2 linked regions of the Rattus norvegicus genome follow. The protein of the gene in region 1 purifies or fractionates together with the protein of each later gene. This does not show direct contact. Links are inferred from orthologs where the notes say so. Each region holds a gene or a part of one and is shown on either strand. Other genes may lie near its edges. The genes, in order: Pinx1 and Tert.

The links.
Region 2: the proteins of Pinx1 (region 1) and Tert purify together in Homo sapiens (co-immunoprecipitation; 3 studies listed by BioGRID and IntAct, with this or other methods). This does not show direct contact. The link is inferred for Rattus norvegicus from reciprocal best matches to the Homo sapiens genes PINX1 and TERT.

What each region holds. Positions count from the first base shown.
Region 1 is NC_086033.1:42,272,394-42,276,905, reverse strand, and holds the start of Pinx1 (PIN2/TERF1-interacting telomerase inhibitor 1), read right to left. Parts: upstream 3,102-4,512; 5' UTR 2,971-3,101; coding exon 2,952-2,970; intron 1-2,951. UniProt on the Homo sapiens protein: Microtubule-binding protein essential for faithful chromosome segregation. Mediates TRF1 and TERT accumulation in nucleolus and enhances TRF1 binding to telomeres. Inhibits telomerase activity. May inhibit cell proliferation and act as tumor suppressor.
Region 2 is NC_086019.1:31,477,985-31,481,793, forward strand, and holds part of Tert (telomerase reverse transcriptase), read right to left. Parts: intron 3,543-3,809; coding exon of another isoform or gene 3,398-3,542; intron 2,613-3,397; coding exon 2,417-2,612; intron 1,420-2,416; coding exon 1,239-1,419; intron 624-1,238; coding exon 444-623; intron 1-443. UniProt on the Homo sapiens protein: Telomerase is a ribonucleoprotein enzyme essential for the replication of chromosome termini in most eukaryotes. Active in progenitor and cancer cells. Inactive, or very low activity, in normal somatic cells.

The sequences.
Region 1 (4,512 bases):
CGATAAGGATCAAGTTTTGATGGTGTCACAGAAACCAGAGATCTAGAACCAGACCCCTGACTCATTGCAGTGAACATTTGCAAGTGAAGATGTGTGGACAGTGAGATACACTGGGAATACAATGTGACACACTACTGCTTCCACAATGAGATGTTTGCTTTGCTTTGCTTTTGTTGTTTGTGTGTGTTTTATATTGTGGGGGGAGGTCGCAAGGGCAAAGGGGGTATATGAGGGGACAGGAGATGAGCAGGAAGAACTGGGATGTGTGATGTGAAACTCACTAAGAATCAATAAAAAGTTAAAAGAAAGAAAGAAAGGAAGGAAGAAAGGGAGAGAGAGAGAGAGAGAGAGAGAGAGAGAGAGAGAGAGAGAGAGAAAGAAAACCTGAGTCTGGGAGAATAAAATCTGCCTGATGTCCCCAAGTAAAGACCAAACCTTTTATACAAACCAAAGTCTCACAAATGTCAACATTTACTATTTAAGGCACTGTTAAGATGGAGACTCACGTAGCACCCAAGTTAACCTGAAATTTGCTATGTAGTGGGCTGGAGAGATGGTTTAGCAGTTAAGAGTACTGTGTGTTATTCCAGAGGACCAGGGTTCAATTCCCAGTACCCATATGGCAGCTCAAAACTGTAACTATAGTTCCAGAGGATTTGACACCCTCATACAGGCAAAACATCAATGCACATAAAATAAAATTTTTTTCAACTAAAAAAAAATTGCTACATAGCTAAAGATGACCTTCAACTTCTGATCCTACTGCCTCTACCTCCCAAGTACTGACATTAATGGTGTGTACTGCCATGCCCAGATCAACTTATATTCTTTTTTTTAAAAAGATTTATTCATTTATTATATGTAAGTACACTGTAGCTGTCTTCAGACACACCAGAAGAGGGCATCGGATCTCTTTACAGATGGTTGTGAGCCACCATGTGGTTGCTGGGAATTGAACTCAGGACCTCTGGAAGAGCAGTCGGGTGCTCTTAACCGCTGAGCCATCTCTCCAGCCCAACTTATATTCTTAATTCACAATACATAAGTCACTATGACCTAGGGAGAGTCAACTGGACATCATGAGGGTACCTCCCTTCTTATTCAACACCATAATGGATTCACTCAGCCTCGGGAACCATCTGTGGTACTTCACACCCCACTGCACTGTGGTGTTTATACCCCTCCTCATGAGTCCTGTCCCTCCACACCCCTTACATGTCATACTCAGTCCTTCATCCTTACACTTCATTCAGGAGGAAGATAAAAAGCACTCTGTCCATAGTGGCACCTGATAACAGTGCATGGAGACATGAAGGAGTGAGGAAGGAGAGAAGTAAAGGAAGACAGGAGGAAGGAGTGAATAGCTGAAATAAGGGAACTGCCCTGGTGTCGCAGGAAGCTTTCTCTGAAATGAACCTACATAAGTGATCCCTAAGAGCTCAACTTTATCGCTGGCATTCATCTAAGCACACTAACATCAATGGCCTCAAAACTGAAAAATAACACAACCTCCAGTCAAAAGAGCTCACTGTGTTAATGTAAAATCAATAGGGATCTTTATGCATGCATACCCCAGCAAAACCACAAAACCCTTTACAAGCATGCAGGCAGGAAAACAAAAACAAAGCAAACTGAATTGGACTCAAGTTTGCAGTGCTATGCCTGGGGGAAAAAGCCAATCCACCCAGCTCAACAACCTGGTATATACTCAGCACAACACTGTCTTGCTCATGCACACAGCAAAGAGAGCCATATTAACCAGTGTTCTACAAGTGTGTGTCAGACCCATGTCTGGAGAATGCCTGCCAAGGGTTGGTGAGCAAGGTTTGTAAGGAGCCCACCTTTCCCCTAAGAAATGCATCTCTGCCACATACTTACACAAGATGCACTGCCATGCTGGGTAAGGAACTGGCTGCCAGGTCACTTGTTCAGCCCTGTCTACCATTGACATTCCAAACTGTGTTCATGCAATCACCTCACTAAGATTTTTAAGCCTGGCTGAGGCGGAGACTAGTTCATTTTCATGGAAGTAGAGACCAGGTGAACTGCCAGGAAGAGGGATCTACCTAGAAAGGGCAGTTTTCAGTCTATAACCTATTGAGCTGCCTGCAGGATGTGCAGTGTGCTCCACTAAAACATACTTTGTTCTAAAATGACACAATTATCTTTTAAAAAGGAAATAATTTGTTTATGTTCTTTGATAGCTACACAACTTCCAGGAAAAGTTAAAAGCCAGCTTTTGGTGATCATCACACGACTGCCAACTGGTGGCAAGAATCCATAGCTACATGTCGTCTCTTTTAGAAGTAAAGTAGCTTCTGGGGAGGGAATTAGTGCACTTCAGAGTGCACTTCGTTTTCGTTCTCTCTCTCACTCTCTCTCTCTCTCTCTCTGTCTCTGTCTCTGTCTCCCTCCCTCCCTCCCTCCCTCCCTCCCTCCCTCCCTCCCTCCCTCCCTCCCTCCCTCTCTCTCTCTCTCTCTCTCTCTCTCTCTCTCTCTCTCTCTCTCTCTCTCTCTCTCTCTCGCTTAGAACCATTCATCAGCCTGCACTCCCGCCAGAGATTTATCACTGCCTGACACCTGTAATCCTTCTGTTTTTCTTCTCTGGGTCTAATACATTTTGGACAGTTGGGATTCGTGGCCTGAAGTGATGCTATGGGACCTGTCTTTGTGGAACCCCAGGATGCTGTTTTGAGCCCGAGAAGTGAAAGATTCCTCCAGCTGGCCACGATGCCCAGCGCAAGGGACAACAGTCTGAGACCCGGTGTCCTGAATGTCGGAACGCCACGCGTGCGCGCACGGCCCAAGCTTTTAGTTCCAAGAAGCGAGTCTGCGGGACATAGATGATCTGTCCCTCGCGGGCCCGGCAGTCACTGCTGTCCCCAGTCGGGCCCGGATACCCGCACTCCCATCACCCCTTCACCCGGTCGTCCAGCTTGGCGGACACTCACGCTCCGCTAGCATCGACATTGTCGCAAGTCTGTCGAGCGCTGCCTCTGGTCTGGCGCCCAGCGGTTATGAGGAGCCTGAAGTGCAGTTAGGGAAGAAGCCGGCTCACAGAGCACGCCGGGTCCAAGAGTTTCACTGGGGCGCATACTACTGACGTCACCAAGCGCGACTCGCCACGGACTACGTAAAGCCGAGGGGCCGACCCACCTTGCGGGACTGGTACACAAATTCATTCTAGGGCTGGGGCAGAGCTCTCGTTGGACTCAAGCAGTTCGCAGTTTAACGCAGAAAGCGGATATGCAAGCAACCTTAAAGTTGTTCGGGGTTCTGTGAACCATAGGTACCTTCAAAGAGCTGGCGAGATGGCCAAAGAAGAAGGTATTGGCACTGTGGAGCGGGGGCCCACTTTCCTCACACTCTACCTCTTCTCATTGGGGATGCTGAGAGAGGAGGGAGGGAGGGAGGGAGAGAAGGCAGAAACAGCCACGTAGCTGTCAAAGTCAAACGAAACACCAGATTTTTGTTCTTAACGGTCGAGAAATGTTAACTCTTCCGTGGTGTTCGCTGTGACAGACTTAAATCCCAAAGGCCTTTCCCAATTCCATCGCTCAACATGCTATACCTGGCATTTGCTGAATGCATCCTGACACATTCTGTTGCCCTCTTTTTGCTGACCTTTCTCCTCCATTTGTGTGACCTCAGCAATTTCCCAAGCTGTTTACTTGCCTCCCCCCAACCCCCGGCCCCAGCCTCTTCCTTCAACGTCCCTTTCTTTGTCAAGGCTTTGGCTTCCAATCTAGACCTTAGCTTTCCTCAAATCTTTGTTGTAGCTGTGCCTTCAGCACTGGCCAGTGCCCTGACCTTCCAGAGGCTCTTCTTCCTCGTTTTGTCTTTTTATGGAAGGTAACATCCACTTTTCACCAGACCCAACAAGATTCCATGTAGACCCCCATGGCAGTCAGTGCAACCCTTCTAGGATGCGGTGTGCTGGTAAAATATGGCTGTGTTGGAGGAAGAGCTCGGGGTTGGGAGTGGACAGACCTGAGAATCAGGCATGACTGTCACTTACCTACCTGTAAGATGAGAGCACCCAGCCAAGAATGATTGTGTGCTTGACCACGAATTATTAACAAGAAAGAAGAGGCAGTAATGTGACTGTGTGGTGATGAGGCTGAGTCTGACCAAATCACCCGCTTAGGACATCTGAGCTTTGCCCCAAATCCTTTCCAGATTTCCGTTTCCCTGGGCCACGTTTCCTAATCTGGATCACTAAGGCCAGGTACAGCAGCCAGAAGGGCACACAGGAGCATTTTCTCACATTCAGTGAGGATACCAGCTTTGACCTCACTCCTCTAAAAGTTCTTTACAGGACAAGGAGGAGTGACCAATGAGAGCATTCCCAGCGAGTGTTCTTGGATCACAGCATCAGCTACCTTTGAAAGTCTTTGTCATTTGTCTGAAGACGTCTTTGGGGAGCATTGTAAACTTCTACTGTCCATTAACTGCAGTTTGAGAAGAGTTGGAGGAGCAAGTATGGAGAGGACAGAAAAGAAAGTATGGAAG
Region 2 (3,809 bases), on another chromosome or scaffold:
CCCAGACTAAGGACTGTAGGACAAGGAAAGCCTACATTATCCTTGAAGAACCTTGGGGCCTACAGGGCCCCTGGCTAACCCAGATACTGAAGCGTCCAGGCCCTGGTGGTAAGTCAGGCTTGGCTACTTCTCTGAATAGGACCCAGCCTCCAGAGGGATCTCCCACAGAGCAGAACCCAGAGCAGTTGGAATGTACTGTCCAGGGAACCCATATAGAGCTCAAGACTGTTCTGAGAGCTAGTTATCCGCCCCCCAAAAAGTGGGGTCCCCGATCCTGAGAGAACTGGAGGCCCTAACACTTTTAGCCTGTAAGCACTCACAGGCCAGCACTCCCAATCACCTGCTTGAGGTACAACAGGTCACCCAGTGTTGGCTATTCCAAGGAGGTCCCTAGAACCCAGACCATGAGAGCAAATGTGGTAGACAGGAGTCCAAATGATGACCTTAACAAAGTACATCCTGGGTGTCTGGTCCAGAGCACGCACACGCAGCACGAAGGTCCGCCAGATCCTGTAGCTGTCACTCGTACCCAGTACTGAAGCACCCATAAGGTTAGGATGTTTGGTCCGCTCGTAGTTGAGCACGCTGAACAAAGTCTTGAGACTCTGAGTGAAACACTGGGTCTGAGCCAGGGCCACAGAAAACACATCAGAAAGGGACCCGGCAGACCATTCCCTGACCACCCTGATTTCTGAGCCCAGAACCTCAGCTCAGAGCCAGAGTCTTAGAAGACCTACCTCACTAAGTCAACTGACTGTATTTGGGACCCTTATCCAACCTGCCTCAACCTGTTCTCACTCACCCCCCACGGGCCTTCTAGAAACACGCCCACTGGTTAGAGTCAGGGTCAGGGTCGCCTTACAAGGGCTTCCAGCTGAGCTGAGGCACCAGTAGCTTCATGTTGTCCTCTGAGGCCTTACTAATGACCACACAGGCACTGGTGGGGTTCAGAGCTGCTTCTGACATCCAGATATGGGGATGGGTGGCAGCTGCCCCTGGTTACTTTGCCTCCCAGCATAGAGGCCATATAGTGCCTACCCTACCTGGCAAGATCCCTGAGAGCTTGTGTCCCAAGCTCTCTGTCTCTTGGTACCATCTCCTATCTCTTAAGACCTTTCCACATGCTAAGGTTTTAGACTCAGGAACAAGTTACTTAGCCTCCCTCAGAACTTCATGAGCCCTTACATAGGTCAGAGCATAGACTCGACCAGCCGTACGGGGGGGCCAAGTTCAGTCACCTGCTTCTTTTTGCCAAAAGCTCTGGTGTCCATGCCATAACTCATGTTCACAATGGGCCGGAGACCATTGAGCTTGGGGATGAAGCGCAATCTGCAGATAGGCATGGCCAGCCAAGTGTCCTGGTGATGCTTGACCTCCTCTTGTGACAGTTCCCGTAGCTGAACTCTCTCAAGCTGTTGCCTGTTGCAGAGAGTACCGTGGAGTTATGACATGCATAGTTCACGAGACACGTCCCATCGGGGCGCTTGGGAACTTGGAGCGCTTGACACCCAACCATGCTATGGGGCTACATCTAGGACCATAGCAACCCACACCAACCAGACACCCCATAGAACTGTCTGGGAGGGGCATGTGACACCTAGCCTGAGTTGGTACCTGGGACATCTGGTCCCATAGTCTCCACTTGGTGTTCCCTTCTTTTGGGGGGTGGGGGTGGGGTTGTCCCACTGGCCAGGACACTTTTGAAGCAATCTGCTGACTCTTATGGATATTCTGGCTTAGACACAGGTATGAAAACAAAACGTGTCCATGCCTGCCCCCAGGAAGCCCTGTGCTGGTTGTTAAGAATCCCCACAAGCATAATGTATGGCTGATGTGAGATACATAGTTAAGGCTGGACCTCAAGAAGGCTAACACGGAGCTGTGTGGTAGTGGGAGCACACCCTTAATCCCAGCACTTGGAAGGCAGAGGCAGGTGGATCTTTAGGGGTTTGAAGCCAACCCAGGCTATGGAACTAGTTTCAGGACAACAAGAACAAAACAACAAACAAAGTTAACATGGTAATCCACTCTCTGTGGGCCTTGCCTGGCCGCTCCTCTGCCCTCTCAGCTTGGCCTTTGTAAACTTCTGCTGAGACAGCAAACTCTAGCTCAATCAGCACAGAACCTCAGCCACTCAGAGCCCTGCCACTTCTCAGGGTGGACCCCTGTGGTCTCCCACCGAGGAGACACTTCCTTCAGGGGTAGACACAAGGTGGAGTCCATTGATAAAAAGCTCTCCTACTTTAGGGATCCAACTTATGCTTTCACAGGCAAGAAAGCAGGGTGTCCAGTCCATGGCTCCAGGGAGGCCACGCCTGCAAGGTCCATGCCCAGGCTGGCAGGTGCCACAGTGTGGGTGTCGGTGCCTCTGGATATGTAAATAGGAGACGCTTATACCTGAGAGGCTGTGTGGTACCTGATTCCAATGCTCTGCAGCTTGCTCCACACACTCTTACGGTAGAAGAAAAGGCGGTTCTTCTGGAACGTGGTCTCTGTGATGTAGAAGAATGACCTCAGCAGCTGTACCACATATGTGTCCATTAGCCAGAACAGGAACATGGCAAGGATCCTCTCCCTCAGACGGTGCTCTGCGGCAGGGACAGTGTCCTTCTCTGAAAGTAGCAGATATTCAACATCTGTGACTCAACCTCAGACCCATAATGTCCGGCATAGGAGCCACGGTTCCCAAATGAGCCCATGGGGTGCTGGACTGGACATGCTGGGCTCTAATAATATGTATTAATAAACTCATTTAATGTGTGTGTGTGCATGTGTGTGCATGCGTGCATGCATGCTTGGTTTCTTTATGTTGTAAACTAAAGTTCCTGACAAGGCCGTGTCGGTAGTGGGTGAATCCTGCAGGCCTACTGACTACAGATGAAATACCCCTGACTGACAGAGAAATGCTCTCGAGGTATTCTTCAGCCCCCAACAGCCATTCACTATCAATCTCTGAATCCGATCTAGGACCATTGTAACTATCGACTGATTCTTTTGAGCTAGATTGACTTAGCAAACCTTAGCTTCTACCAGCTCTAGATCAGATTATGTCTTCAAATAGGGGATGGGGCATGGCTCAGTTGGCAAAGTGTTTGCTGGAGGGGCGCGAAAACCCAGTTTAATCGTCAGAACCCATGTTTTAAAAGCCAGGGGTGCTGACATGTGCCTGCAAGTACCACTACGGAGGCAAAGGCAAACGGACTCCAGCAGGATCAGCTCCAGGCGATTAGAGAAGACACTCGGCGTCAACCTCAGACCTCGTACACATATACAGGCAAACCTCAGTGGGAGCTACTGCTAAACTACCAAGTCACCAACTACACATACCCATTGCCACTGAGCAGTGAACACAGTTCAGAGAGGTCCAGAATGAAGTAGAAAACAGGTTAACTCTTACTGCCATGCTGGATGTGTGAGCTCCACTCTGTGTGTCTCCAGATACCGCAGGGGCCTCCTTATCCAGGGAAAGGAGGGTTTACCAGCAGTGATGAATATGAAGGAAACTTGTGAAGGAGAAGGGGAATCCCAGAAGGAGGTACAAGCTAGAAGACAGAATGAACAAACAAGGAAGGAAACAGGGCTGGAGAGCTGGCTCAGCAGTTAAGAGCACTGGCTGCTGTTGCAGAGGTCCCTGGGGTAGCTCACAACTTCCTGTAGCTCTAGTTCCAGTGTGGTCAGACCCAGCACCAGGCACGCCATACATACATTCAGGCAAAACATTCCTACACATAAAATGATCATTAAAAATAGGTCAATATATGGAGAAAATGGCGTGGAAGGTTAAAACTAAACAAGCAGTGACCTTAAGA